Oryzias latipes: one gene and its partners. Each later gene encodes a partner of the first gene's protein in a complex. Links are inferred from orthologs where the notes say so. Each region holds a gene or a part of one and is shown in the gene's direction. Other genes may lie near its edges. The genes, in order: pold1, pold2 and pold4.

The links.
Region 2: pold1 (region 1) and pold2 share a complex: the UniProt entries of both Homo sapiens proteins name them as parts of the tetrameric DNA polymerase delta complex. The link is inferred for Oryzias latipes from reciprocal best matches to the Homo sapiens genes POLD1 and POLD2.
Region 3: pold1 (region 1) and pold4 share a complex: the UniProt entries of both Homo sapiens proteins name them as parts of the tetrameric DNA polymerase delta complex. The link is inferred for Oryzias latipes from reciprocal best matches to the Homo sapiens genes POLD1 and POLD4.

Annotation. Positions count from the first base shown.
Region 1 is NC_019866.2:14,479,594-14,490,120, reverse strand, and holds the start of pold1 (DNA polymerase delta catalytic subunit), read left to right. Parts: upstream 1-4,609; 5' UTR 4,610-4,695; intron 4,696-5,328; exon of another isoform or gene 5,329-5,377; intron 5,378-5,490; exon of another isoform or gene 5,491-5,494; 5' UTR 5,495-5,496; coding exon 5,497-5,683; intron 5,684-6,008; coding exon 6,009-6,122; intron 6,123-6,266; coding exon 6,267-6,407; intron 6,408-7,005; coding exon 7,006-7,131; intron 7,132-7,250; coding exon 7,251-7,419; intron 7,420-7,580; coding exon 7,581-7,701; intron 7,702-7,807; coding exon 7,808-7,937; intron 7,938-8,010; coding exon 8,011-8,177; intron 8,178-8,252; coding exon 8,253-8,357; intron 8,358-8,480; coding exon 8,481-8,621; intron 8,622-9,779; coding exon 9,780-9,890; intron 9,891-10,014; coding exon 10,015-10,206; intron 10,207-10,279; coding exon 10,280-10,368; intron 10,369-10,527. UniProt on the Homo sapiens protein: As the catalytic component of the trimeric (Pol-delta3 complex) and tetrameric DNA polymerase delta complexes (Pol-delta4 complex), plays a crucial role in high fidelity genome replication, including in lagging strand synthesis, and repair.
Region 2 is NC_019867.2:18,717,370-18,727,867, reverse strand, and holds the start of pold2 (DNA polymerase delta subunit 2), read left to right. Parts: upstream 1-4,098; 5' UTR 4,099-4,222; intron 4,223-4,363; 5' UTR 4,364-4,370; coding exon 4,371-4,596; intron 4,597-4,673; coding exon 4,674-4,795; intron 4,796-4,881; coding exon 4,882-5,005; intron 5,006-5,074; coding exon 5,075-5,189; intron 5,190-5,262; coding exon 5,263-5,461; intron 5,462-5,580; coding exon 5,581-5,661; intron 5,662-8,257; coding exon 8,258-8,415; intron 8,416-10,498. Other genes in the region: nono (non-POU domain-containing octamer-binding protein), read right to left, coding at 2,339-3,655. UniProt on the Homo sapiens protein: Accessory component of both the DNA polymerase delta complex and the DNA polymerase zeta complex.
Region 3 is NC_019859.2:1,160,602-1,170,948, reverse strand, and holds pold4 (DNA polymerase delta subunit 4), read left to right. Parts: upstream 1-4,509; 5' UTR 4,510-4,643; intron 4,644-5,900; 5' UTR 5,901-5,968; coding exon 5,969-6,074; intron 6,075-6,499; coding exon 6,500-6,583; intron 6,584-6,857; coding exon 6,858-6,969; intron 6,970-7,293; coding exon 7,294-7,318; 3' UTR 7,319-7,455; downstream 7,456-10,347. Other genes in the region: sarcoplasmic/endoplasmic reticulum calcium ATPase 2-like, read left to right, coding at 9,388-9,505, 9,661-9,678, 9,898-9,980, 10,065-10,169. UniProt on the Homo sapiens protein: As a component of the tetrameric DNA polymerase delta complex (Pol-delta4), plays a role in high fidelity genome replication and repair.

The DNA of each region.
Region 1 (10,527 bases):
TTCTCGGTTTATCTGTTTGATGTTTAAGTATAATAATAATTTAATCTTTCAACATTTTAGATAGAGAAAGATGGCATTATGGCAACTATCCTTATAACAAGGAGTAAAAAATGCTTAGTGTAAAATATATTATGTTTTTATTAAAAAAAGGCACTCTTTTTGTTTTTAATCTTATTCTCCTTTAAGAAAAAAAACACAATTCTGCTTTATGCTAATACAAACTGGTTTGTTTTAAGGAATGTCCAGTTTTTTCTAAAGTAGGATTTTTTTTAATTCATGAGTGCAGGTTTTTTTTAAATTATTCTAACTGTAATTTTTCTATATTTTTTTTAATTAAATCTAAGAATGTCTTAACAACACATACAATTTGAGAGTGCCTTTTTTTTCCAAGGTAGACTTTGAGACTGCATGTGTCAAAATCATAAAATGGGACTGTTTAAGATGCTAGAAGAGATTGAAATTTAGAACTTTGAAGGGGCTTCTGAGCGGGTGTGGGTAATCTCAAAGGCACAGTTGTTTCCAAGCCAGACAGGATCTATGAATACATGTCTAAGGTAAGAAGGAGACGGTGCCAGAGCCCCACAAACAAACCGTATTTGACAAAACCCCAAAATTTTCACAAGAGTAAAGCTTTAGAACTTCTAATACTTGAAACAAAAAAAGTCAGTGTGAAAACCTGAAACCTATGTTTCAGATATTTTTTTTAAGCCAGAGCACCTTCAAATCATTGCCCTTAAAATGTACAATTTTTATTTTTTGTCTAAGTCGATATTTTGTCTATGTCATTTTCAGGTGTATGTCTCTGTCTAAGTGGTGTGGATTTGGTGCAGAAGTATAGCAGTTATGGGTGTAACGCAGGGGTGGGCAATTCCAGGCCTCGAGGGCCGGTGTGTCTGCATGATTTCAAGATAGCCTTTCCCTACTCATGGCTGATTACCTGGTTCAGGTGTGTCCAGCCAATAATCTTGCCCTACTCATAACTGATTACCTGGTTCAGGTGTGTCCAGCCAATTAGAACATGCCAGAGCAGGGTATGCTGGAAAACATGCAGGAATGCGGCCCTCAGTGCCCACCTCTGGTGTAACGCTTAATCGACTTTATTGATGAATCAATTTATATTTGATCGGCCTGTCTGAGGGAAGTTGTTAATCAAATCGACTAATAACGTCATCGAATAACTTCAAAATGAAATAGATCAATTAAATCAAAATTTGAAAATGCCATTTGGATTGACACAAGGTAGGTTCAGTTTACTAATGTAAAAATGACCAAGTACCATCAGAGCGGACAACACGCATGTGACTGCAGCAAAAAATGATCAGTCCATCCTTCCAGTCCAATGTGTGGAAACACTTTGAATTCTGCAAAGACTTGTGACCATAAAGTGTGGTAGAACGTTCTAATAATGTTCCCTTTGTATTATTTGCATGTGAAAATATAACATTGGGCTGAACTTTATGAAACTAAATGTGAATGGATTTGCCATTAATTATTGTTTACTTTTTTGTTTGTTTACATAATTATTTACACTTTACTATCTTGCAGGAAATACAAGGAATCTGGAAAACTTCACCTGCACTGTTCAGTACACTGATTGAATTTTTTTCTAAAGATTCACTGGATTGATTTAAGATCAGTGAATCAGATTCTTTAAAATGAACTAATATTGACTATGAATCACATTGTCAACAACAAAATTTGATGTGAATTGAATCGTTATCGTTGTAAAAATTAATAGTTACAATAGTATAAAGCATGTGTTTAAGCTGTGAGTGGAAGCTGAGGTTCCTGGAGAAAACCCACAGGTAAACAGGGAAAACAAGTGAAGAACAACCACTATGCTACAATGCAGCCTCTCGTAAGTTTAATTTCAATTAAAAATCAGGGTCTGCAACCTGCGGCTCTGGAGTGTGGCTATTTTACCCCTCCATTGTTGCTCAACTCTCAAAGAAAAGTAAAGAGCTTTTACTAAAAAGAAAATAAAAAAATAAACAGTAAGAAAAAAAGTACAGTAAACTAAGTCAAACGTTTTTTAACTGGTTCACAAACAGTTGAAAGACAGTTCGCATTGAATTAAAACATTTTGACAGATTTTGCGCACTTGATATTACAGCAATTTAACTGGATGTCAGGTCAGTAAGTAAAACAAGAATTATTATTAGAGGTTGACTGAGTTATAAGGTGGATTTTCTATTTTTGAACAAATGCAAGGATTTTAAGTGCACCTCAAGGTTCAAACACTGTTTTTGATTTGGTTTGTCTGATTTACAGAGTATATAGTGTTTGGATGGAAAAAGTTAGAAATTGTCCATTTCAATACCAGTGGTGCTAGTAGTTTTAAGCAAGGTAACTTTTTTCCTGTTTTATTCCTGTGTGTTTTTTTCTTTATACACTGTTCCAATTTTTTGTAATTTTCTATTGAGATTCTTAATAAATTATAAATAAAATAAAATAAAATAAAACACTCACTGGAAAAAAATAACACACTTACTGATTTTTTTCAAACATTTTCTTTTCTCACAGTAGTTTGTTGTTCCTAAAAAGGACACAGACAATATGGAATCAAGTTTTTTTCCCATATCCATTACTTCCTGAAATGAAAGGAGTTCATGTTAAAACAATAAAAAAATATATACAGTGAAAAGAACTTAAAATAATTGGGTTTAATATTCAAGATAATTCATGCCCTTACAGTAAAAATACACTTGGTTAATGTTTTTTGGCAGGATTTATATTTTTGGCTTTCAACAACTATCAATTGTCGCCTAGTCGCCTAGTGACTACAGGCCTATAGCACTGACCTCCCATGTTATGAAGGTCATGGAGCGGCTGGTGCTGTCACATCTCAGACCCCTGGTGAGCCCTTTCCAAGACCCACTGCAGTTTGCATACCAACCCAAGGCGGGAGTGGAGGATGCACTGCTATACCTGCTGCAGAGAGCATACTCCTCCCTGGAAAAGCCTAACACCACAGTGAGGATCATGTTCTTTGACTTTTCTTCAGCCTTCAATACCATCCAGCCGAGACTGATGAGGGAGAAGTTAGAGAAGATGCAGGTGGATGCCCCCCTGGTCTCATGGATTGAGGACTACCTGACAGGCCGACCTCAGTTTGTGAGACTGCAGAGCTGTGTGTCTGACACCCTGACAAGCAACACTGGAGCCCCTCAGGGAACCGTGCTGTCCCCCTTCCTATTCACCACATACACAGCTGACTTCCAGTACCACTCTGAGCTCTGTCACCTCCAGAAGTACTCTGATGACACAGCTGTAGTCGGGTGTGTGAAAGATGGATGGGAGGAGGAGTACAGGAGCCTCGTGGAGCGCTTCGTCAGGTGGTCTGGGGAAAATTACCTGCAGCTAAATGTGGCCAAGACTAAAGAGATGGTGATAGATTTTAGCAGGAGAAAGTCTTCGCCTCCCCCAGTCTGTATCGGTGGGACGGATGTGGAAGTTGTCTCGTCCTACAAGTTCCTGGGAGTACATCTAGACGATAAACTGGACTGGTCCACAAACACCGAGGCCGTCTACAAGAAGGGCACGAGCAGACTTTACTTCCTGAGGAGACTCAGGTCCTTCAATGTTTGCAGCAGGATGCTCTACATGTTCTACCAGTCTGTCATGGCAAGCACCATCTTCTTTGCTGCAGTGTGCTGGGGTGCTGGCATCAAAGCAAAGGACGCCAACAGACTGAATAAACTCATTAGGAAAGCAGGGTCTGTCATTGGCCTCAAGCCTGCCAAGCTGGAAGAGGTGGTTGGGGACAGACTACTGGCTAAACTGGGGACCATCATGGACAATCCTTCCCATCCCCTCTTCAGGGAGGTGGACAACCTGAGAAGCAGTTTCAGTGGCAGGATCATACACCCTCGCTGTGCCAGAGAACGATACAGGAAGTCATTCCTGCCATCAGCCATTAGACTCCACAACTCATCTGGCAGACTCGGATGTACATGAAAATTCTAGTTTCTAGTCACAGACTACACTTTTCAAATTGTATTTTACTCAATTTTTGTCCTGTTCTACTCTCTGTATTTTTTGTGTCTGTGTTTGTCTTTACCCCCCCCCCTCCCCCCCTTTTCCTTAGTGCTGCTACTGCAACTAAATTTCCCTTCGGGGATTAATAAAGTTCTTCTTGAATCTTGAATCTTGAATATTACTTTATTTAAGTATAAAAATAACATTCAGTTTGGACTGATTTACAAAGACAAAAATATTCATTCTTAGTTACCAATTTAATTATTTTAGAAATTTGTGTTTTAAATTAATGCAGTTTTTTGAAGAGCCTATTTTTTTGTTTTTTAAAAATGACTTTAACATTTAAAAATGTTTTGCAGATCCCTCCAAACATAGGAAAGGAGCAAAGCTATTGTTAGATTATATAAGTAAAGTAATAGGCCTGCTGTTGCATTTTGATTCATATGTCTACTACTTGGTCTTTGTTTCAGTGTTTTATTTTCGGGAGACTAGTTGCATTATGAGTGATAAAATGTATTGTCACTTTGAATATTTCAATAAAGATAAGAAGAAAAAAAGTCCTCTTTTTCCTGATTTTTTTTTAACTTCCGCTATGTGAATGTCGTCATCACCTACTCGCTTTGTGGTTGGACCAAAGTCAGAAGGCATTTTCCGCGGTTTCGTCTTGTGGCGGGAGTTGTCTACAGCCTGCTCGCATTGAGGAGGCAGCTTGTGCTGGTATTTACTTCACACTAATGTATTCGCTTTGTTTTCTTATTTTAACAACCCATTAAAGATGGACTCTGCAGTTGGGTCGGATTAGACAGCGGATTTACTGTATTGTGTTTACATAAGCCTCGCTAGCTTTGTTTTAGCTTAGGAAAAGAGAGAAACTGCTTCACGAATGATACTTTCTGTTATTGCTCCTAAAATTGAGTTAATGACATTGTTGAGCACATTAAGTTTGCGAAAATGTTCAGTACATGTTTATTTAGGATGAGGAAAAGGGCTGTCTGTCTTCGGAGCTTAGACGTTAACTAATGCTAACTGCGTGCGCTCGTGCGTGTTTGTTATGCAAAGCTACTGCAGCTGCAGCTTCTGACTTCACTGGAGGCTTTGAGGTTTGCTAACTTGGCCCAAATTCAACAAGGCTGCTCCTGCCAAACTCCATTGTCATTGCTTGCAGTAATGTCAGTTGGAAGTTTTGAACGTGAAGTTACCCGAGAAAACGTGTCTTCTTTCTTTCTTTTTTATATTTAGCATAATTTTTCTTTTTTTTTTTTTGGCACAGAGTGGAAATACTACTGTAATCAACTCAGGATCCACATGTTCCCATTTCAACAATAAATACTGATTTATTTTTCAGTTTTCCACTCCAAAGCCAGTGTTGTTTTATTGAAAAAAAGAATTTCTGATATAAGTAAGTTAAAAGGGATACTTGTATTAATACTCTTCAGTAAAGCCTTTTTTTTATTTTTAGATTTATTTTATTATGTCAATTATATTCTTTGCTTTCTCTTTTTGGAAAAACGGACAGACATGGCTTTTAATAAAAGGAACGGCGGCCCGCCTTTTGGTGGATTATCCCAGGCCAAACGGGGTAAAATGTCCGGGGAGTGGGAAGACAGCCCTTCCCAGTTTGAAGAGGAACTGTTGATGCTTGAAGAGGCAGAGATGGAGTTGGAGGAAATGGAGAGTCAGGCAGGACATGATGTCATTCCAGTGGGTGAGTTTTCACAACCATTAATGTCTTGTTTCAAATTTTTTCTGCATTACTTTACTAAAACTTAACAGACACATCAGCAAAGGCATGCAGACTTTGCAAAGCCCCATTTTCCCCCAAAATGTTGAAAAGTTTTACATCAAGATCGTAGACTTTCCGGTACATCTGGTTCATCAGTCATGGCTTTAATCTGTACCTAAACATGTAAACTATGCTCCAGAAAAAATGTTATATGTTGGTCTATTAACTTACAGCACCCCCAAAAAATAAGCAATTTTTGATGCTGAAGCTATTTATCTCATGATTTTATTTTTAATTTTTATTTCAGGTGACCTTTTTTCAGCCGACCTTAACCCTCGCTGGCCACGGCCTCACGCCCCCACGCTGAACCCATCTTCAGAAACTTTGGTGTTCCAGCAGATTGATCTTGATCACTATCTAGGTAATTACTAAGAAATAATCAGTTGGTTACACCACTTTGAGTATATAAACTAAAACGATGCAGGTAAAGTTTGGGGTTGAAATGCTGTAAAATGGGAGTATCTGTCATAAAAGGATCTGTTGTGAGTACATTTTGTCTCTTCAGGTGCATCGGTGGCAGGAATGCCTGGCCAGTTGCAAGAAAAAGTACCAATCATTAGGATGTTTGGCGTGACCGACAATGGCAACAGTGTGTGCTGCCATGTTCATGGGTTTGCACCTTACTTCTATGTTCCTGCACCAAATGGTAAGTCCCTAACTATGCCTTTTTTCTACTGAAGATGGTCTTAAACTAGTTTCTCTGTTCCAGAAGGGCACATCTATCAAACATCCCATTGAAAAATCTTTTATTGAAAGACCAACTCTTATCAAAACATTTATTTTTGCTGTTTCACATGTTTTTGTGGTATTTTTCTGATGAGGGAGGACATATATACACCAAAGGAAGCTTAAAATTGCATTTCTGAGTATTTCTTTATTTAAATTGTTGTGATTTAGGTGTAAATGTTGCAAAATGTTTGTTGCACCTGTATTGTTAGGTTGGGCGGTGTGAGGGGCTGTAAGCTAGTGGGAGAGCATGTGAATACTGGTAGATAAATCGGTTATGGGTGATGGAAGGGGGGGCCGGCCTAGTCCGCGCCAATATTTCCACCTATAACTTAGGCAAATTTCTAATAAACTAATGCTACTCTGCAAAAATTATCTCCCAAAAAATTAAACAGATTTATTTATTTTGTCCGAAAACCGCATAATCATAATTAATGGACCACTGGGAATGGTAAAAATGTGATTGGGTAGACAAACTAACGTCCTGTGTTCATACTTTTCTCCATTTCCTATGAAAGGGTTCAAATCTGAATTTTTGGGTGAGTTTAAGAGAGAACTGAACTCTGCTGTCCTGAAAGACATGCGCTCCAATAAAGACAACATTTCGGTCACGGTGTTGGCTGTGGACATCACCCGAAAAGAGAGTGAGTATAAGTTACGGGCGCAGTCCTAATTCTTTTCCTTTTATAGGAAACCGACAGTTTCTTCAGTGTTCGATGCTATAAAATCACAGAGACTTTTTTTTCTTGTTTTCTCCTTTAAGACATGTATGGTTACCACGGGCAACAGAGTATGGATTTCCTGAGGATCACCATGGCGATGCCTCGTCTCATTGCGCCTGCAAAGAGACTTCTGGAGCAGGGCTTTAAATTTGGACATTTTCCCATCCAGGGATACCAATCCTTCGAAGCCAACATAGACTTTGAAATCAGGTGTGTGTCCTCCCCAAAAACGGTCACATTTTTTAACCATAAACCATAAAATATTTGCTCCAATTTTAACGCTACCTGAGGACATTTTTAAAAATCGCTAACTCCAAGTTTGAGAGTGTTGCCATGGAACGTCACACTATAAAGCATTCATGTGTTCTCAGGTTTATGGTGGACAGCAATGTGGTTGGATGCTGCTGGATTGAACTCCCTAAAGACAAATGGAGGTTGAGGGAAGAGAGGAGCACAAGCACAGGAGAAGTGGACTCTCAGACTCCAGTCAAAGTTAGTCTTATTTATGCTAATTCACATTTTTTGAAAAGAAAAGAATCAACTTTTCTTTTCAAATTGCTGAGGGATGCTTTTGTACGTCTTTCCGTTTGTCCCATAGGTGTCTCTGTGTCAGTATGAAGTGGATGTCGCCTGGACAGATTTGATAAGTCACCCAGCAGAAGGGGAATGGCAGAGGATTGCACCACTTCGAGTCCTCAGTTTTGACATAGAATGTGCTGGAAGGAAAGGTAGGTTTCCTCATTTGATTTTAAATCACGGCTTACTTACTGAAAATCTCACAACTCTGGTCTTTGTGTTCAGGGATCTTTCCTGAACCGGATAAAGATCCCGTGATTCAGATAGCATCTATGGTGCAGCGGCAGGGTGAGACGGAGCCGTTTATTCGCACCGTGTTCACTCTTCAGTCCTGCACTAGCATCGTCGGCTCCCAGATCCTGTGCTTCACTCAGGAGAAGCAGCTTCTTCAGGTAGACACTTGCATCCCAGAGAAGTGGAATATTCTGGAACAGTTTTTCAATTCTGGATGTTTTCTGTTTGATCAGAGCTGGGCTGAATTTTTGCGGACGGTGGACCCAGATATCATAACTGGATACAACATCCAGAACTTCGACTTTCCGTATCTTATCAACAGGGCAGCAGCTCTGAAGGTTTGGTGAAGCCACTTTTACTTCGTCAAATTCAAAAGTCAAAAAGTGTCTTCCGGTTTAGGTAGCTTTGAAGAGATTCCTGCTTTCCCAGGTCCTCAAATTTTAATTTTCTCTTCTGTTCAGGTGACTTACTTTCCATACTTGGGCCGAGTGCGAAACATGAAGTCAGTTCTGAAGGAGTCGAACTTCCAGAGCAAACAGATGGGCCGCAGAGAGAACAAGACCATCAACATGGAAGGCCGAGTTCAGTTCGATCTGTTACAGGTCAGCAGGGCTGCAGCTATCCATTCTTTTTGTAATCGATTAATCTAGCACTTAATCGATCGATTAATCGAGTAATCGGATAAAACGATTTGTGTGTGTTTTTGAACAACCAAAACAAATAATGCATAACAAAAATGATGTGGCTGTAAAATGAACAAGCATTTGGCTTTTATTTCTCAACCGAGGTATTTATTTCCAAGTCCAAAAGTTTGGCTCCAAAAGTTAAGTGCCAAGTTGGCATTGCCAACAATTATAGAACAATGTACAGTTAAGTGAACTTACTGTAACATGTATAACATGTATTGTAAAACTAATATGAATATAAACTTAGTTTTTTGTCTTCTTAATACACAACATTACAAAAAAAGGATTGCACCTTCTGCAAATTTAGTTTAGTTAACCTGGGAACAAAAAATGAATATAAAATATCAAGCCAAGCAGGTACACAATGTATAAAATGTATAAAAAATTATGTAAATAAAACAATTATAAACAATTATAAATAATAAGCTGTAGTCTCAAAACAAACATCAAAATGTACGTGTTTGTGCGTGTGTGTATGTGCGTGCGTGTGTGTGTGTGTGAAGGGGTTCTTTTTTTTAGGCTATACTCTCTTGCAATTGAACGTGATAGTTACGTTTACTACTTTAAAACGTCATCAAAGTTAAACATCATATCTAGTCAAACCGCATCACGACATCGCTACAAATGCACTATGAGATTCAAATCAGCGAACATCAATAGGCTTAGACTACGTTAATTTACCTTGTTGGTCGGTGAATAGCATAGAGTGGATGTCTTCTGTTCAGATGCTGAATCATGGAAGATGTGCTGTTGTGGTATGCCAGCTCTATTTTGCCGTGACATCTCACGTTTTCTGCCGTTTATTTATAGATCTATTCTCCGCCATCGCGCCAACTAAATTCAAAAGGTCCGTGTGAATAAACGGTCCGTGTGACGCAATTAAATCCCTGCGCCGAGCGTATGGTGTGCGTGATAGGATTTTAACGAGGCTTGGAGGCAGAGTTTTTGCCTCGAGGAATTTTTGTAATCGAGTAACTCGAGGAATCGTTTCAGCCCTACAGGTCAGCAGTTAAAGTAAACACTGCCTACTTTTGTGGTCACTTTAAAGGTAGTATTTACTGGTCTTTCTTTCAGGTTCTCCTTAGAGATTACAAGTTGCGTTCCTACACTCTAAATGCTGTGAGTTTCCATTTTCTGCAAGAACAGAAGGAGGATGTGCAGCACTCCATCATCTCTGATCTGCAGGTAAAATGCACACCCTGTTTACATCTTCAACTTTATGACATTGTCTTTAGGTGCTACATATCTCTGCACTAAGTCTGGACATTGAAAAACATGAACTGCTCCTCTATCCTTTCTTCGACCCCAGAATGGAAACGAGCAAACGCGGCGCCGTCTGGCAGTCTACTGCCTGAAAGACGCGTACCTCCCGCTGCGCCTCCTGCAGAAGCTGATGTGTGTGATCAACTACATGGAGATGGCCAGAGTGACGGGTGTGCCGCTCAGTTACCTGCTCTCCAGAGGGCAGCAGATCAAAGTCGTCTCTCAGCTGCTGCGACAAGTAAGACAGACCGCCATGGTGGCTTTGCACTTGCTGAAATGGACTTTGAAGCTAACCGCTTGTCTGTGTGAAGGCCATGAAACAGAATCTGGTCATGCCTGTGGTGAAGACCGAAGGAGGAGAGGACTACACTGGAGCAACTGTCATCGAACCAGAAAAAGGGTAAGAACTTGATCTTATCTCCCTTTTTTTTCTAATTTCTGCCTTTTTTGTTTAAAAATAAATTTTATTTTAATGGACGTATTGTTAATTTTTTCTTAATTAGCAGAAATCTGTTTTGTTGTTCAAACGGCTAAAATAAAGCAAGTTGTTCTTAAAAAT
Region 2 (10,498 bases), on another chromosome or scaffold:
TTGATCATTTAATAGTTTTAATGAGCCAAGAAAGAAGGAAAGACAAAAATAATAAAGACAGACAGGAAGAAAGAAATAAACAAGAAAGAGAGAGAAAACATTTAAGACTTATATGGTCAGGATTTTGTCCTTCAGACGCCATTTTCAGCTTTGAGTGAAAACAATTGCATGAATTTTCAGCTTTCCTTTTTTGTTCTAAAACAAATTTTTTTTTGTTTAGGTGGTATTTTCCTTTGGAGTAGATCATATTTTGCTAATATTCTTCAAGCACAGTATTTAGCAGTTGGATTTAGTGGCAGACTTACTGCAGATTTGTCCTTAAAATTATTGTGCAAGAGACAAATGGGAACTTTGAAGGCTTATAGACGACATCATTTCATTTTTTGAGTGGAATACTGACTGAGAGAAATACTACCTAAACACATTTTTATTCTCATTTTGTCTCCCTCAAAAAGATCTTTCTATTTGATACTTAATCGACACAACCACAATACACTAAAAAATAATGACATTCGTTTTCCACGAAATAAAATCGATAATCCCTTTTCCTTTTAGTGAGTAAAGCAATAAAAATTTGATTTTCATTCATTTACATGTTAAGAAAACATACAAAACATAAGGAAGCATCCACTAATTTTACCCTGAAATCTATTAACTTGTTATGATATTGTATTTGACTGCACCACATTTTGGTCTTAAAGCTTGGAATAATCATAAAGAGTATTTGTTTATTAAATGTGAAATATCAATTGACCCTTGTGCTATCCTAGGCACTTTAACATTGGGAGTTGGGTCATCTAGACCCACTAGACAGTGTGCTAAACCTTTTTTCTTCAATGATTTGTGAACCTCACTGGTGTCCATGGATTACATGAACTCTTTCCACCTTTATCCACCTTTGTCAAGGTCAATTAATGGTGGGGTCATCTAAGATAACACAAGGGTTAAAAAACATTTTCTAAGGCTTTCATATTTTTTCTGCACTAAATAGCACTGGAAGCCAAATGCATGGGAAATTATCATTTTAAAGCAGAAAATTTAGAACACGCTCATGAATTCATTGAGGCGGCAAGATTAATTTACAAAACTATTTTAACAGATGCTGTTTCTGTTTTTTTAAACCAAACTATAAAAAACTAATTTAAACAAACATCTGTGATGCATGACACCTTCATAGCCTGCATACCCTGCACGCTTTTCTAGAGTAAGATTTTCCAAATTGACACGATTGTCAAACAGAATGAGGGGATGAGAAACCTGAGGAGAAAGCTTACCTTGTGTCCTGCAGGGCACAAAGTGCAGACTTCACAGCGTACATTTCCAGAGAACACTTGCACGTTTGTTATCATCAAATTGTTATCAACCTATATTTATGATGTACTTGCAGGATAGTTGAAGAAGCTACTTTTTTTCAGTTCTTGGGGTCTGATAAGAAAAAATGATAATTTTGTTATCAGATGACACCTGTCCAGCAAGCGCATACAAGCTAGCAAGCAAAAATCATCTGTTTGAATTTTGACTTTGAAAATCAAAATCATCTTACGTAGTTCCTCTTGTTAGTTTTGACCACTGGTTTGCTCAAGTTTCCAAATCTTCAATGTGAAACACCTTTATTTTTTTTCATTGTGGATTTCTTCAGTCATAAATCTCATTGAATTGTTTTGCAAAATTGAAAAATTTGTGTCCCACTTCCTTAGTAGCTAATAAATAACCAGTTAAATTCATTCATATGGAGTTTTCATAGCTTCTACATTTATATTTACCATCTTCTTTACTGTAGCAAACCACTGGATTACCAGTTCAGTGTTCTTCACTCTGTACATAAATCTGCACGGAATCCTTCAGGTTATGTTGAGGATCATGTACCGAATGAGATCAAATACTTGCACTGGTGCCATCAGATATTGTTTTGTGAATGGATGAACAGGCTGGATGTGAAGTATTTGCTTCTGTGTTTATGACACTTCATCGGGCCACCGTTGAAAATAAGAATGCTGTTGTTAATCTGTTTTGCCTGGATCAATGAAGGTTGGATAAATAAATCATAAGTTTATTATAATGAGACAATGTTTTTTTTAAGGAATCATGACTTTATTCCAGAAAAGTTGACATATTTAGGACAAAGAAACATTTTCCATCTCTATCTAGTGAATGTAAGAAACAATTGAAAATGCATGGCTCATTTGGAGTTATGACATATTAGTACTAAAATAAAATGAAAAGGACAAATAAAAACGGTAGAAAAAAAAACACATGCACATTTCAAAGTCCAAAAGTAACACTTTCTACCCAAAATGGAAAATTACAGTGAGCATAGTAAGACAAGGGAAGAAGCTCTTCAAAATCTCCGCTGCTTGTTATAGTCTCCAGGCCCCGGAAGGCCTCGGGGGAAGCCGCTCTGTCCTCCTACAGGCATGTTGTTTGCTGGACCTGCCATCATCGGAGCGCTATCTGTAGCCATAGCAGCAGCATTGGCAGGTCCAGAATTCCCACCTAGGGAATTTCTGTTCATGCCCAACCCGTGACCACCCATGTGCATCATCATATCTTGTTCTCTGTTTTCAGAAAAGTTGGTTCTGAAACCCTCCTGCTGCCTCTTCATCATCTCCTCGTTGCGCATCCTCATCTCCTCCTCCCTCCGCCGGCGTTCCTCCTCCTGCCGGAGCTCCGCTTGCTTCCTCTTCTGCACCTCTTGGTTGTGGAGCTCTTCCATCCGGCGCAGCTCCTCCTGCCGCCTCAGCAGGTCTTGCCTCATCAGCATCACTTGATGCTCGTGTCTGGCTGCCTCCATCTCAGCCTCCAGCTTCTCTTGAGCTTCTTTCATGTTGCGGTCCACCATCTCGTACTGCTGCTTCTCCATCTCCATCAGGGCTTTCCAACGCATTGCATATTCATACTCAAAGGAGCCCGGCTGAGCAAAACGCGGTGGCTGCTCCCGTTCTTTGTGATACTGTTGGTTCTTGTTGATCAACTTCTCGGTCAGTCCTTCATCTTCGTCGAACTGTTCCATGGGCTCCACTGTAATGGGTCGGGGGAAGGCTGTGAGAAGATAGGCACCATCATTGCATTTATCCAGAGCCTTCCTGGCTGCGGGCTTTGAGGTGAACTCGACGATGCCTTTCCCCGTGGGCCTCCCCCTGTCATCCACAATCACCACCGCCCTCTCCACCTGCCCGAAAATAGCGAAAGCTTCTTCCAGGAGATCGTTGGAGGCAAACTCTGGTAAATTCTTTACACTCAAAGCGGCACCGTGCGTAGCAAACTTGACTCGGATAGGTCTGCCCCTGAATACATGATCATCCAGCTCGGCTCTGGCGATCTCAGCTATGATCCTGGTTTCCAGGCGGATGAAGCCGAAGCCTCTTTCTTTGTTAATAAAAATCTCACTGGCTTTACCATACTTTGCAAACAGCTTCTCCAGGTCATCTTCTGTGACGCCTGTGGGTAGGTTTCCCACAAACAGCCTGCTCCGCTGTGTGAAGGTCTTTTCTCCGGGTTTCCTGAAGCTCTGCAGGTCCATGGTTAAGGCCGCGTTGGGGTTGGTCTGCTCGCTGGTCTCCGGCTGTTGGCCATTGCTATTAGGTCCTTCGGTTTTGAAGTATTCCCCCTGGCGGTTGTGGCCGTGGTTATGCTGAGGGCCTCTGTTTCCTTGCATTATTTGACAAAGAAGTCAAAAAATCTGGTAAAGTGTGCTTTGAAAAGCAGTACAAGGGGCTAACAATGTCGTACAAAGAGTAACAAAAATGGCGACACGGTGCGCTGCTCTGACGGTTGTGTGACGTCACATGTAGGCGACATCTACTTAAAATTTCCTGACGGCATCTTTGTAAGACGATTTCTCTTAGAGTTTAAACCCCTGGCTCATTTTTATTTCTATTCTTATTCTTCTGTTTGTTAAATATGTGTATTTGATATTTGCAGTTGTGTTTTTATTGCATACCTAAAAGTATATCCTTGTAAAATGGCATATTGTGCAATAAAGTTTATTTAAAAAAATATTTGTAAAACGATTACATTCACGTTTTCTTTTAAAATGTTATTTTCATACCGTTTTTTAAACAAACAAGCAAACAAATAAACAATCAAAAACATTAATTAGATAAACGATATGCTGGAAAGACATAACTAACGTCTCGCGAGACTTCCCGATAAAAGCTTTAGCGGGCTATTCCGCGGGAACTGCGCTTTTTCTTAAAACATCTAAAAGGACTTCCCGTTTAAGGTATTGTTGTTCTACTTTTGTTATTTGTAGGGAAATGAGTCAGTGACATAATATGTTGTTGCTGTAAAGGGGGACGCTGAATCTTAAACATTCAACTGGTTAACAAGGATTTTAATGTTCCTTTACTTAATTCCTTTAAAGGAAAACCATGTTTTCTGACGTGAGCGCCCAGAAGAATGGCCCCTCTCTTCTCTGCAGCCCTGCCTCTGAGGAGCAGGGCCCTACCTTCGAAAGGATATCACTACCCTACGAGTTGTACTCCGATCGTTACAGAGTTGGTCAGAGGAGCTTTAGTCGTCAGTATGCTCACATTTATGCAGCAAGACTCATGCAGATGAGGCCCCTGCTGGCAGAGAGAGCTCAGCAGAAGTGGGGTGAGTTCATCATGTTAGCATGCCAGTTTAACCATCACTTGATTATCCAATACTTCTTTCCCCCTCTTCTCTGTCAGGATCTAATGTTCTTATCAAGAAACTGTGCGACCTAGAACCGGGGGAGCAGTGTTGTATTGTGGGGACCTTGTTCAAGCGAATGGAGCTGCAGCCATCCATCCTGAAGGAAATCAGTGAAGAGGTTAGGAGTCTGGTCTTTTTTGGATAAACAAAGCCACGTTTGATCTGTTCCTTTCATTTTAAAGATCCTGGACGTCTGTTTTTCAGCACAATCTGCTGCCTCAGCCTGCACGAGCCAAATACATCAGTGAAGCAGATGAGCTGATTTTAGAGGATGAACTCCAGAGGATCAAGTTGGAGGGCAAATTTGATAAAGATAAGTGTGTCACAGGTCAGTGTAATTGATGATATTTGATACTTTAATAAATTCTTTATGTTAAAAAAAAGTTGCCCCTCTTAGGTAGTGTCGTTGCAATATATGGAGCTGAAAAGAACGATGGCAAGTTCACCGTTGAGGACTTTTGCATGGCTGATCTTCCTTTACAGACACCAAGACCTGCGCTCAGCTCAGACAGGTGAGCTCAGGTGTGCACAGGTAAACCTTTGCAGTTAAGGGTTGCAGCTCATTAAAGCTTTGTCTTGGCACAGGTTTGTCCTCCTGGCTTCAGGACTCGGGTTAGGGGGCCACAATGCTGACAGCATGCTGGGGCTGCAGTTGCTGGTTGACATGGTCACCGGTCAGCTTGGAGACACAGGCGAACAAAGCGGCGCAGCAGCAATTTCCCGGGTTCTGTTGGCTGGAAACCTCCTGAGCCAAAACACCCAGGATAAAGACGCATCAACAAAGGTCATCCCCCCTGACATGCAACCACTTGACTTTCCTTATCATCTTTGTCCTTATTTTGGATAAGTTGACTTTTTGAACTTTACTTTTAACTATCAAATGCCTTTTTTTTCCTGTTTCAGGCCAAGTACCTCACAAAGAAGACCCAGGCTGGCAGTGTGGAAGCCATCCGTGTTCTTGATGAGCTGCTGCTTCAGCTGGTGGTGAGCCGGCTGTGTAAAAGTCATCTAAGATTAAACTATTACCAACGATAACTATAATATAGCAGGACGCATTTTGTTGTTTGCCAGGTCTTTGTTTTATGGGTTTACTTTGGCACCATTCAAACTCTTTTTTTGTTTTGTTTTATTTTCTTCTTTTATTTTGAAAAAATACCCAAAAATTAGAAAATTAAAATAAAGAGTAAAACATAAAAGAGAATAAGCATTTATGTATTCTTCTAGTTTAAATTCACTTTATTGCAAAGTTAAATAAACTATCAGCTGTGACAAACTCGTGACCAGAAATCAGAAATTCAAATCAATACATTTCACAAATGTTGACCTGTTTAATCAAAGCAGAAGGAAAAATAGTACATAAGTAAATAAAATGTCACATTTCTTCTAAAACATTTGATGAGTTTGTTTGCTATGTTTAAACTACTTTCCATGAAACCGACTGTTATAAACAGAATCAATAAACTTATCGTTTAAATTGTTGTCATGAAATACCTGCCAAAACCTGGTTTTATTTACTTTTTATCTTAATTTCTTTTATCTGCTGCAGTTCTGCATGTCACAAGGGTGACATGCAGAACTGCAGCAACTATAGAGGAATAAAGTTGATGAGCCACACAATGAAGCTGTGGGAAAGAGTAGTGGAAGCCAGGCTTAGGAAGAAGGTGGAGATTTGTGAGCAGCAGTATGGTTTCATGCCCCGTAAGAGCACCACTGATGCCATTTTTGCTTTGAGAATGTTGATGGAAAAGTACAGAGAAGGTCAGAAGGAGCTGCATTGTGTGTTCGTAGATTTAGAGAAGGCGTATGACAGGGTGCCGAGGGAGGAGCTGTGGTACTGTATGAGGTCGTCTGGAGTGGCAGAGAAGTATGTCAGAGTAGTTCAGGACATGTATGAGAGAAGTATGACGGTGGTGAGATGTGCTGTAGGTCAGACAGAGGAGTTCAAGGTGGAGGTGGGACTACACCAAGGATCAGCTTTGAGTCCTTTTTTGTTTGCTATGCTGATGGACAGGCTGACAGACGAGGTAAGACAGGAATCTCCCTGGACAATGATGTTTGCGGATGAAATTGTAATTTGCAGTGAGAGTAGAGAGCAGGTGGAGGAACAGCTAGAGAGGTGGAGGTTTGCTCTGGAAAGAAGAGGCATGAAGGTCAGTCGTAGTAAGACAGAATACATGTGTCTGAACGAGAGGGATCAAGGTAGAAGTGTTAGGTTACAGGGGGCTGAGGTGAAGAAGGTGCAGGAGTTTAAGTACTTGGGGTCAACAGTTCAGTGTGATGGGGATTGTGGAAAAGAGGTGAAGAGGCGAGTGCAGGCAGGTTGGAGCGGTTGGAGGAAAGTGTCAGGAGTGTTGTGTGACAGAAGAGTGCCAGCAAGACTCAAAGGAAAGGTGTACAAGACAGTGGTGAGACCAGCTCTGCTCTATGGGTTAGAGACGGTAGCAGTGAGACAGAGACAAGAGGCTGAGATGGAGGTAGCAGAGATGAAGATGTTGAGGTTCTCCTTAGGAGTGACCAGGTTAGACAGGATAAGGAACGAGTACATCAGAGGGACGGCTCACGTTGCCTGTGTTAGCGACAAAGTCAGAGAAGCCAGACTGAGATGGTTTGGACATGTTCAGAGGAGGGATAGTGGATATATTGGTAGAAGGATGTTGGAGATGGAGCTGCCTGGCCGGAGGGCAAGAGGACGGCCAAAGAGGAGATATATGGATGTCTTAACAGAGGACATGAAGTTGGCTAACGTTAGGGTAGAAGATGTTCATGATAGAGTGAGGTGGAAAAGGATGATTCGCTGTGGCGACCCCTGATGGGAAAAGCCGAAAGAGAAAGATCTTAATTTCTTTTATCTGTTACAAAGTGTCTCCTTTACCAACAATCACGTCATCTGCTTTGGTCACATCCTTTTTTTTTTTTACTTTATGAAACGGTATTATTTCCTGAAAACAGAGATATTTTGCCAGTCACTGAAACAATTTATTTAAACAATTTTTAGACAGCAATAATAAAACTAAATAAAGTCAACTTTATTTAGAAAGTGCTTAACAACGCTGGGTAAAAACAAAACAACAAACAAAAACAAACAGCATAAAATCAATAAATTAAACAAAAATAAATAAAACCCAATAAAAACCAATAAAGATCTAACTTAAACAGTCGGGAGTCCAAGACCTGATTCTTCAGGCAGCCAACAGTTTCCGGTGAAAATATTTTTATTGATCCCCTCATGTTGTTTCCTAGTTTTTAAATAACTGAACCAAGATGAGTGTGGAACCTCTCTAACAGCAAAGATCCATTATTTTATCAAGTAGAAATTAATAATCCATTGTAACAAATCTCTTTCTTTAAAAAGAAAAAAGGAAAAGTCTGTCCAAAAAGGATATATCTCCATCTAGTGGTTTGATAAAGGAATTACAAACAAACTCAATATTGCAGTTTATTTTGTTTATCAGCGTCTGGAGGACATAGTAAAGCACAGACAGAGCAGATGGGTGTTTTGGGAGACATTTATAAAAAAAACGGACTTTTGAATGTTTTGTGTAGTAATTGCTCACTGGTATTGCCTCTTTTGTTTTTTAAGGCTTCTGTTCCAGTAGATGTAATGCCGGGCCAGTATGATCCAACCAACTACACTCTCCCACAGCAACCTCTTCACCCATGTATGTTCCCCTTATCTTCTGCATACAACACCCTGCAGCTGGTCTCTAATCCATTTGAAGCCAGCATTGATGGAGTGAGGTACGCAGCATCATCATTCACACGATTTTTGTCATCAAGCGTCTTGATGCGTCGGGTTAAGCGTCTTGCTTAACCTGAAATGATCTTGCAGGCGTGTGGAAATTTAGACTCTAGGTTTTACCGAGTACCAGAGCAAATGGCCTAAAGCAGCATCAACCGCTTTATTGTCAGACAAGATTTTCATAGACTGGCCTTTAGGCTGTGATGGACATAAAAACTATTATTTTCTATTTTTAATACTCTGGGTTTGCAACTTTATCAACAATGACTTCCTAACTTGATAAAGGTTGGTAAATGCATATGTTGCTGAGCCTGCTTGTATGGGAGCGACCTATGAATCCATATTTTAAGTAGAGACTTCAATGCAGATTGTTTATTTTTTGAAGTTTCTTCCTCTGTGGCTCTTTTCTGCCTAAATAAATTTTCCAAATATGTTTTTTTGTTGTTGACTTTGCTAGCTTGGGGTTTTCATTTTGGCAGTGATGTACTAAGTGTCACGGATGTGATCAGCGTCTTTGAGAAGGTAGTGGCTGCAGGTAAGACACGTGACCAGGGCGAACCCTTTGACTGAGGGACAGACAGTTTTGGCAGAAAGTTTTCCAAAATAAAACTCAGTTTTGAATCAAATTGCAAGCCATGTATGCTTTTTTGTGAGGCCCGGTACCAATTACTCAGATCCTTCAACGATCAGAGTTTGTACCCTGACCTTAAGAACAAACTGTTAAAGTCCTACTCTGATCATCTTTTGATCTATTTTAAAATCAGTGGTCTTTAAGTATGATTATGCCGTTTTTAGAGGGGGGAAAAACAAGACTTTCTAAGACATCATTTCTGCAGAGCGCCAGGAGTTCATTAGAAATTTGGTTGTGAGTGAGACTGCTGGCACGGTGCCACGGTCCCCACTCTTCCCGTCATCGCTTTGTTTACATTCTGTCCCGCTAGCTTACAGCCCCTCACAACCCCATCCTAACATTAGCAGCGAAACAAAATGGCTTTTTTCAACAGCATTTTTGTCTGCTCCTGATTCACAACAAATTGAAGTAAGAAATATTAAAAAAAAAATCAGAATTTGATCTCAACTTTATTCATATGTGTCCTCCACCATCAGAAAATTACCACAAGAACATTTTTAAAACACCAAAAGCAGGATTTTTATTGGAGTGGGTCTTTAGTTGCTGATTCTGGCCTGGGTTCTTTTTTGGAGCATTATGGGAAAACCTCATGGATCCTCCACATTAAGTCAACAACAGAGGCCTTCATTCAGAAGCTTCCCATCTGCTGTGACAAAGTTATAACGACCGCCAAGCCAATGACTCTGAAGGATTTCAGAAAATAAGTTGGTACAAATGTTCATGCTCACCTTTGGAGACTAGGAAAGTATTTTTGAATCGAGTTGAATATCTGCAGTGGTTCAAACCAAAACACGGAAATCTTTATGAAGCAAATTGCAGTGTTTGCAAAGGTCCTTCAGATTTCTCTCTTGTTTCGACTAAAATCTGAATAATCAAGTCAGTGGTTGTGTCTTTTTCTCAGACGTTTGGTCAATGTCACTAAGTGGTTCCTCATTCATGTATTCACTTACATTGGAGACATTTTCCTCATAGTGAAAACTGTGAGGAAACGGTATTTAACTCCTGAAGTGGCTGCAAGTTTTATTGATATTTTTAAGCAAACTCCTGCTCAGATTTTACCTGCACCTTGTGATTTTATTGTTGGTCATTTTAATAACAGATTCCATAGATGCAGTGGCTTCATTCAAAACAAAAACATTAAGAGCCACTCCTAAAATCCCATGGAAGACTGATGACATTAAGCGTCTGAAGCAGAATTGCAGGAGGGCAGAGAGGAAATACAGGAAGACGAAATTGATAATTCATCAAGACATTTTAAAAGAACAACTCAAAATCTACAATAACTCAGTTAAACGGGCCAGAAGCTCTTATTTTTCAAAAATCATTTCAGAAAATAAAAACAACCCTAAATTTCTTTTTAAAACCATTGATGTTTTAAAAAATAAAGACTTCAACAAGTCCTCCATGCCATCATCTAATGCTGCATGTGAGGACTTCGCAGACCACTTCAT
Region 3 (10,347 bases), on another chromosome or scaffold:
AAATCTTTTACCAAATCCAAATTCTTTAATAACTCGAATCATAAAACTGTGACTAATTGTTTCAAATGCCTTGTAGAAGTCAACAAATAAGATAAAACTATCATCTTTAATATATTTATTATAATCAATCATGTCAAGTATTAATCTGATATTATTGGCAATATTTCTACCAGGCATGAAACCAGATTGTTCTTCATCAATAATGTTATCCAGTCCTGGTTTCAATCTTTTGGCAAAAATAAGAGCGAATATTTTAGCATCATTGTTTAACAGACTAATTGGTCTCCAGTTTTCTATGCATAATTTATCTTTTTGTGGTTTGGGGATGAGTTTGATGAGGCTTGTCTGAGAGTTGGGGGCAATATACCAATGTCTAAAGCCTCTTCAAATAAATTTGATAGAAAAGGGGTCAATTTAGCAATAAAGAATTTATAAAACTCACTTGTTAGTCCATCATTACCTGGACTTTTATTATCTTTAAGAGATTTAATACAGTCTTCAACTTCCTCTGTTCTAATTTTCTGGTCACAAGTCTTTTCAAAAGTTTCACTGACTTTTCCAATCTTATCTTTAATATTGTTAAAAAAATAATTCAATATCTTCTTCTCTAAAGCAATCTTTGGTGTAAAGTCTCTGATAGAATTTTGCAACATATTGAGAAACCTTTTTTGTATCTTCACTTATTGAATTATCAATTTTAATTTAACGTAGACAGGAAATTTCGAAATTTCTTTTTTCTAAGTTGAAAAAATATTTTTTATATTTCTCCCCCCTTTCTAACCATTTTCTTCTTGATCTAACAAACGCTCCTCGTGCTTTTTCTTCATATACTTCATTCAATTCTGATTGCAAAGAAATGAGTAATTTTTGTTCTAGATCAGATAAATTCGTTTTTTCATTAATAATCATTATTTTTCTTATTAGTTCTGACTCTTTTTTGTTTTGTTTTAGCAATTTTCTTCCCAAATGATTTTGCCAAAGATCTTATTTCATACTTCATTAACTCCCAACTATTTGAATATCTTTTTAATGTAAATGCTTGTTTCCAGTATTTATCAGTTAGTTTTTCTACTCCACCAGTAAATTCTTTATTGTTTAATAGTAAATTATTCCATTTCCAATAGTCTACGTTGCATTTGGGTGCATCAGTTTCCATATTAATTTTAATGGACACTGTATTGTGGTCTGAAAAAACATTGGATATAATCTCAACAGAATCAACTGTATTTTCTATGTCATTAGAAATGAGCCAAAAATCAAAGCGGGAACGCTGAGATCTGTCCTTATTGCTCCAAGTAAAAAGTCTGCATTTTTATTTTGGCAATACAAAAAACACATTTTCTTTTCAGTTGGTCTCTGATACCCCTGGCATTCACAGTTAGAACAGATAATGACATGAACTATAAGAACAAGAAAAAAGAGAAAATTAACTTAGGAACTTCCTGGTTTTGTTCAGGAACCGCTGCACATATTCAATCTGCCTTAAACTTTGAGTCTGTTTTATACCGTCATACTGACCTTTACAAACATATTTCAGCTTAACTCAGTATTTCCCTGCCGTTCACGAAAGCCCTGTTTCCAATGAAGTAGGCTTTCTCTCCTGTCTTCCTGGCTGCCTCCACTGCTGGCCATAGGCGGCTGCGAGCTTCCTTATCAGCAGATGTGAGATCTTCCTGGAGACGAAGATGATGATCCAGTAGGTAGACGTTCTTTGGAGAACTTTTCCACAGGAGATCTCTGGCCGATCTGGACAGGAACCTGATGATTATGGGTCGGGGACGTTGATTGGTTCCATTCCCACTGGGCTTTCCAACTCTGTGTGCGATGTTGATTGCTGAAACCACCACTGCAGAATCTTTGGTTGGTAACATCTCTTTAAAAATGTCTTGGACTCTTGATTTGACATCTTCTGGATTTCTTTCAGGGACACCAGACAGGCGTAATTCACTCTTCTGCTGTGGCGGTCGGCATCGTTCATTTTAGTTTCCATCTCTCCAACCTTCTTCTCCAGCTCTTCACGTTGCTTTTTCAGGCTCTCATTTAGTTTTTTCAAGTCCATGACCTCCTGATGGCAAAACTCAAGCGACTTCTTTAAATTGTCAATTTGGACAGTATTGTAATGCACAGCTTCGTCGGTTCTGTCTGCTCGTTCGTTAATTTTTTTGGTAAACGGTAAAGTCGGCTCAGTTGCAGCGCTTTTCTCAGGATTATTTTGCTTTTCTTCTCCTCTCACCTTCTTGGGGGGATGTTTCATAGGTGTATTTGGCATTGAAGAGCATTCTCCATCATCCTTCATGTGACATGCATAGGAATGGGTTTCTCTGATGTTTCGTTTTTCCTTAGAAGCATCCACTTCCATATTTTCCAAAGAGCTGCTGCGGTTGAGAGAGCCGCGGTTATCTTTTGATTTCTTCATCATTGTTAGTTTAGATTTTGAAGTATTAATTTGAAAAATCTTCACGGAAAAACTTTTGCTGTTGTTTCAAGGCAAAGGGTCGGCGAAAAAAACAGTTTGTGCAGCGAATTCCCAGTTTTAAGAACTCACAGAAGTTTCTTACATGCGGTCGCGGTCGCCATCTTGGCCCCTCTCGATTCCTCTGTTTAGTATTTACTGTTTATTGGCGCTCGTCTGCCACCTACAACAGGAAGAGGCTCTGTGCACCAAGTCAACGGTGCAAACCCCGTGAATCAGATGTTTGGTTTTCACGGCTCTGTTCCCATGAATGTCCGGTCTTGGTGTCAAATTAATACGGTCGCAGTTGTTAACGTCTCCTTCATGATCACGTTGGCAACGCTTCATGCTCTCGTGTTTGGAAGTGGACGCCACCCACACGTCACTAAATCAGAGTCCCCGATTGGTCACAGAGCTACAGAGCTGCATCGCTGCGTTCAGCATGAAAAAGTTCAACCAGTTGAACCGTCAGCGCCACCAATGAACGCCGGTTTGTGCGCAGAGCTCGCCACTGGACTTTAAAACGTACACAGCAACGCGCGATCACCAGCGTTCCGGACGCAGGAACCTGGAATTCTGGTCTAGACTGGGGGAGGAGCCGGTGCACGCCGGACACGGCTGCAACATGTCCTTAACGTGTTTCTGAAAGGAATGAGACCTCTGTCCGTGCTTCAGGAGGATCTAGAGACGTGATTGGGGGGCTGTGCCCTGGAGACCACCTAAGTCATTTACTGTAGAATATTTTACTGTCCAATAAAGTGAAACCATGTTCATAAAAATATTGCTCTTACTATTTGTATGGGAAGGTTAGACGTGATGTAGTGCAGGGATCATCAAGTTAGCAGCTGTTAGGACTTTTTTGTGCTACGGCTCACCTGAGACCTTTAACGTTTGATCTTTTATGAGGAGAAACTGAAATCCATGAACTGTACATGTCAAATTTCTGTGAACCCAGCTCACGCATACATACCAGTACCATGCCAGACAAAAGCTGATGTGAACTATGCGAGTGGCGCTCGCGGACCCCCCAGCGAGGGTGTGAGGAAGCAGCAGCAGCAGCAGCAGCTGATGTTCTCCAAGTCTGACATTTCACAGCCGCATCAGGGATTCCAAAGGGAACCGTCAAGTTCCTCTCTGAGCCTTTACCTCCACATACAAGTTTTTTTAATGGCATGTTGTTGTTTTTCCACCAGAACCAAACTGTCCTCACCGTGTCGAGGCTTTATTGCATCACTACACGCACACAATCCCCGAAACACAAACGCACATCCAGACGGATCACATGGAAGTGTTCTGACATGGAAAATGGGAGATTAATGGACAGACACATCAGAGGAGAACCAATCAAACTGCTTTTTATTGATTTTGACATTCAGGACCAGAGAAGTAGAGAAAGAGGAAACCGGCGGCGGTCCCCCCGGCGGCGTCCTTCCAGGCAGCCATCATTAGGGGTTGACCTCCAGCCACATTCCCACCGTCTTCGCTGTAGAGTCTTTTACTAAGGGCAGACCGCAGAGATCACGCCGCTGCATCGTCCTCCTGGGTCTGTAAGTTAATGGGCCTCTACAGGAAGACGGCGTGTCTTCTGTTCACTGATGGATGGATTGAGGTTTGAGAGAAGTTTGCTGCTTTTTGCCAGACTTCGTTTGTTTTTTAAGTGTGAGTGCATCTTCTAATGGCATATTATTGTTTAAGTGCATCTCTGTCATCTTTGACCCGCTGAGGCATTTCAAAGTGCTTCACAAAACCCCATAAGCTTTGCACCACACCCAAAAATTCTATAAAAGTCATTTTTACTAAACTGCAGGGACAGCAACCGGCTAAAGGCAGACTTTGCAGCTTTCAAACAGTTTCTGAGGACTGTAACATGTCTACGAAGAAGAAAAAATTATCTTTAAAAATTCAAGATAAAATTTTATATAGATAATAACTCCTGATGTGTTTTTATTGGTTCGTTTCATGTCATTTCGTTTCATTCTTGCATCAGACCGTTTGCGTCAGTGTGGTAAACTGCTGTTCAACAGTCGCCGGCAGGGGGCAGCAGAGGCGCGCGGCGCTCCAACTGGTCAGAAACACGAAGAAGAGCGCGCGCCGTGGCCGTCATTGTTTTGGTCCTCCGCCCTGCTGCTTTCTGCAAATCTGTTAAAGAGGAATAAATATTCACGGAAATCTTTTTGTTCTCCAAAATCAGGTGAGTTCATTTCGTATTTGTTCGGTTTTCTGAGCACTCTGTTGGCGCAGGCGCACTACAGTACCGTGTTTAGTCAAAAGTGAAAGCATATTATTTTCCTGCAGATTTCATCATAAAAACATTTAGTTTTTAAAATGAAATATATTTGGGACATTAAGGTCTGATAATGTTTCATAGATAACTGCGGTTAAGGTGTAATTACGTGTTTAGACTGTCCGTAAAGCTGTAATAAAGGCTCGAGCAGGTAAAGGGGCGTGGCTTCAGACTACATTCCACTTTTGAAAAAAGTCAAACTTGTTTTATTAGAAAAACTTTTACGAAAACCTTATAATAAACGTAGGGAGATGTAATAAGTCCTCATGCATAAGCAGACAGACTCCATCAAACTTTAAATCATCAGGAATTTCTGTTTGTTTGATTTTTATCTTTGATTAAAAAATAAGAAATTCCTAAATGTGTTTGAGTTCAACGAACATCACCTACTGAGTTTTCCTCCATAGCAGCATTTTAAAATGTCGTTCAGAGCAGCAGGATCACAAAGATGAACTGGATCCTAGAAGAAAATACAGATGACTGCATGTTTTTGGTTAATTTGTCTTCATTTTTGTGCTTTTCTGACCAACTTTAACCTGTTAATTCTAAAAGGAGAACAATTTAAATCACTTTAGGTGCAACCTTTGTGAAGAGGAGCCAGATTTATGCTGCTTTCTCAGCAGCCATACTATAATAAATGCAAATGAGTATTTTCATGTCTTCACAGAGAACAGATCTAAATATGTTTTTACCTAAATGACTGTGAATGTTTATGAATGTTTATATTTGAAGACCAGAGATGAAAAAGTCTGTCTGGAAAATTTTGGTCAACATTAAATCTGAATTTCTATGAAATGTTACAAACGATTCACTATTTCCAACATAAGTCACATGAATCTAAGTTATTCAGAAGTTCAAATCATTTTGGTTTAGATCTCAGAAACAATAAATCTCCTCGTTTGGCTCTGAAGCTCAAGCAGCTGCAGGTTGTTGGTTTTAACCAATCAAAATCCAGAAATCCTCAACCTTAGAAAGTTCTGAAGATTTTTATTGATTTAATGACAGGAGCCTGCAGAACGGGCTGCATATGGCGCTTGGTCCGGACTTTGGACATGCCTGCTGTAGACCGTTCTGTCCTGCTTCTGGAGGAATCATAAAGAAACTGATTGTGCAATAATTCTGTGAGATGAGGTATTACTCAAATGGACGAGTAATCTGTTACAGGTAGAGTAACTTGCAGGACGCTGTCATCGTCTCTGTCTGCAGCTGCATCATCGGTACAGCCGGTCACCATGACAACCAAGCGGGGACTCATCACTGACTCCTTCAAGGTGGTGAAGAAAAAGAAGAGAGAAAGGAAGCAGGAGAAGAGCCCCACGCCGCCCCCCCCTCGGACAGGTGGGGATCCTCCGGGTGTCCGCTGATGTGCGCGCCGTGCACGAGCCACGCGGCGTGCACGAGCCACGCGGCGTGCACGAGCCACGCGGCGTGCACGAGCCACGCGGTCACAGAAAGGTCACCTGAGGTCACAGAAAGGTCACCTGAGGTCACAGAAAGGTTACAGGAGGTCACAGAAAGGTCACCCCGGGTCACTGAAAGGTTACAGAAGGTCAAGAGTCCCATGAAAAGTGTCTCCTCCTCTGTCAGAGGGCTGTAAAAACGTGTTCTGTTTCTCTGAGTACAAAAACAGACGAGTATTGAAGAGACAAACTGTAAATGACATAGAAATAGAATCTTTACAGACATAATTATAAAGAGACATTAAAAAATAAATTCTACCTTTCAGGACTTTTTTGTTTGAAATCCGTTTTCTGCTTTTGCAGAAAATGTTGCAGACACCGTCCAGCAGGAGGCGCTGCAGAAGCTCAGAGACTTCGACTTGGAATTGAGATTTGGGCCGTGCACAGGTATGGAAGCAGATGGGGGGGCACGCCTTCAGTTTGCAGCTGGAGCAGCACTGGGGGGGTGGGGGGGTGGGGGGGTCTGGTTGATCTATAGGAAGCAGATCTAAACGTGTCTGCCGGACTTTGCTCCAGCCTCTAGAGATCACAGGAATGCTTTCATGTTAAATAATTAAACCTACTTTCCTCACATTTGACCTGAAATGGGAAGAAAAGAGACGGTTTTGGGGGAGCATCTCCTCTTGGAGGGAGGAGTGCAGCTTTCCTTCTCTGTTTTCAGGGATCAGTCGTCTGCAGAGGTGGGAGAGAGCAGAGCTGCACGGCCTGGACCCCCCCGAGGAGATCAGGGAGCTGCTGCTGAAAGCCCCCGCCGACCCCGAGTACAGCCTGAGGTGACACGTCCTGAAAAAACACACACTGTCCTACTGTTACGGCCAGCTCGTCTGCAGGCGGGTCACAGGAGTCCGGGTCACAGGAGTCCGGGTCTCAGGAGTCCTGGCAGAACCGCAGCGGCTCCTGAAGATGATCAGGAAGAAAATGCTTCTAAATGTTGAAATCCGGCTTTTCCACGTTCAAATAATGCAGACTTTCTCTAAAAAACGGAGATGATGCACTAAAAACTCTGACATCAGGGATGATTTTTAAAACTCTTTAATCTCAGACACAGATTTTTATCTTCTTTAAAAACTCTGACTCTTCATCTCCTTTATTTTCAGCCTGTGGAGCGAATATCCTTTGTGAGTCTGGAGGAGGAGGAGCCAAAGCCTGCAAAGTTCCACCTTTTTACGCCGTTTATCATCATAATGATCATGTTTCTGCATCACAACACGTTCTGTTTTTATGGACCGGTTCTGTTTTATTAAACAGGTTCTGCTGATTCTCTGGCTGCCTATGTTGTTGGGGGGGGGGGGGGGGGGGGGGGGGGGGGGGCTCTTCAGGTAATGTCACCTGCTGAATGTTTGGTATTAGAATCTGGAGGTGGGCAATAACACACAGATCCAAGCACCGTGTGATGGAAGCCACGGGCTCCACTCACTGACACACTTTTAGACTTTTTATAGCCGACCCAAATTTCTTTTTTTTTTTTAATCGGTTCGTCTATTTTAGGATCAAGTCTGAGGAAATGGACCCAAAGCCACTTCCTGCATTCTTAACTGTTATATTTTATGATGATCAGAAAAAAATATCAATTACTAAAATCCTAACCCAAAAAAGTGAATAACATTGTTTATATGGTATATTTATCGTTAGGAACGCTGTGTCATTTATTTATTCTGCAACATTTCCATGTTTTCTTTAAGTCCCGCCTCCAGAGCTCTCTGATTGGTTGCTGAATGCGTCACGCTCTCACCTCGGACACTGATTGGTTGTCATGGCTGTCACTCGAACAACTGAACGCGCTGACAGCCAGAGGCGGGCTCCGACCCCCAAAAGGAGCCTACTGATGCTTTATGGGCGGGGCTTCGCACGCGGAGTTTACATTCCGTGTCCTCTCATTGGTCAATTCAGTCTGCGCTAATCGCGTCTGCTACTGAGCAGCTTCAGACCATTTTTCAATAAAAATCCCTAAGAAGTTCTCTGGCATCTTAGTCCGGTCATTTGAATGAGTTTAAAAACGTAAAATATATTCAAACTACGTAACAGGACGAAGCTTCTTGACCGTTTTTAGGTCCCCACGCCACTCATTCCCCGCCCTTTCATGCAAATTAATGCTCAATAATTAGGAAAACGTCGTTTACAGGACTACCAACATGGATCATTAAACCCTCAAAGAGAGGGAGAACGAAGGTATTATTTTCCTTTATCGTCTCATTTGCGGATGCTTTTATTTTGACATGACCGGAAGTTATGTTTGGCGTCGGTGGATTTCACGCTGACTGCGCGCGCAGCTGACAGGATGAACTGTAATAAAACAGCATGAATAAGCGCTGAGAGAAGAACCTTTGCCTTAAAACTCTCTTTTTTTCCGGAAGAACGCGCTTCAGGTTTTTTGGACGCAGAGGAGTCACGTTTGTTAGTTTATCGTGTTTATTACTAACTAACGGGATTAACGAAGAGGCTCTGCGGAAAACGTCCGTCGCATCTTCGGGAGGAATCGGGTCTGAAACCGATGCTGCTGTGATTCAACCCGCCTTCCTGACAGCGAGCGGACCCGACGGACGGACACCGATCTCCGGTAGGTGGCCCGTTCATCCCGGAGGATTAGCGTTAGCTCCCCGCCCGCCCCCCTCGTCGTGGGCTAACCGCTAGCTCTGATTGTGTAACCCGGTTACTGTGTGCGGTTCGGGTTCCGTGGAGCCCGGACCCACGTCCAGCCGAGAACAGAACCGTTCTAGTCGTTAACGGGGATCGAACGGGCGTGGATGATGACGGGAGTCTGTGGGAATTGGATGCAGTAAGGGCAGAGACTGACATGCGCAGTTACAGGTGTGATCACGCACAGGTGCGATCTGCGCCTTTACCTGTTTAAGACTCATCAAAAGGCTCATTTCCCAGCGTCTTTGAACGCCTCACCCCTCTTTCTTCTTGATAAAATAAATCAATTGATTTTTTTTAATCGAGACACTCGGAGCAAAAAAAGATTTCACAATGTTTAATGTTTATACTAAACAACCCCCCCCCCCCCCAAAAAAAAAGAAAAGAGCCCCCCTCCCCCCTCCCCGAACATCCACTGAACTTTCCATGACAGCAGTTGACCTCCAGGAGCATCAGCTGATGCTGGACCTGTTGGAGAACATCTGCTCACACGTTTCACCACGGGACAGGAAGTGTGGGACTTTCAGTTTAAAAGCATGCTCTTCTCCACAGGGATGGACAACGCTCACACCAAAACCGTGGAGGAGGTGTTGTGCTTCTTCGGCGTGAACGAATCCACAGGTCTGAGCTGTGAGCAGCTGAAGAAGAACCGGGACCAATGGGGGCCCAACGGTAGCGTTTCTATTTCAATCCAACGGCCGTTTGTCTGTAGGGATGTGGGGTTTGGGTAAACCAAGCGGTTATTTTGACAGGTTTCTGTGTTGAATTTGCTCACAATCGTGCAATAATCTCTCTTTTTTCTCCTTTGCTTGTCATTTTCTCTCCAGAGCTTCCAGCAGAAGAAGGTCAGTCCTCGTCTGATTGTTGAAAAGAGCAAAACGTTTCTGACGTCACTAAATGCATGTTTTGGTTCAGGCTTTTATTTTGTTAGAACATCTGATCCCCGTTTCCTGTCAGAAAGTTTGTTCTTTGATGACATGAAGGATGTATTTTTTTTTTTCATAAAAAGCAGTAAAACGGTTGTGGGGGGTTCTGAGCTGCGGCTGGTTTCCCTCCCCATGCAGGAAAGTCTCTGTGGGAGCTGATCCTGGAGCAGTTCGAGGACCTGCTGGTCCGGATTCTGCTGCTGGCCGCCTGCATCTCCTTTGTGAGGAATCCAGCGGATCAGAACCAGCGTACCCCCCCCCCTAACACGACCTCTGACCCTGACCCGATGTTCTCTGCTCCGTAGACGCTGGCGTGGTTTGAAGAAGGCGAAGGCACCATCACAGCCTTCGTTGAACCCTTCGTCATCCTCCTCATCCTCATCGCTAACGCCATCGTGGGGGTGTGGCAGGTAAGGAGCCCCCTCAGCAAGCTTTGGGAAGATGTTCCTGCGGGAACATTTTCCCAAAGGTTCTCTGTTGTGTCTACGAGGGTTCCCCCCCACCTCTAACATTCCTACAAATAAAGAACCCCCCTATAATGAAGGGTTCCTATCTGACACCAGAACACGTCCATGTTCTCTGGGAGGG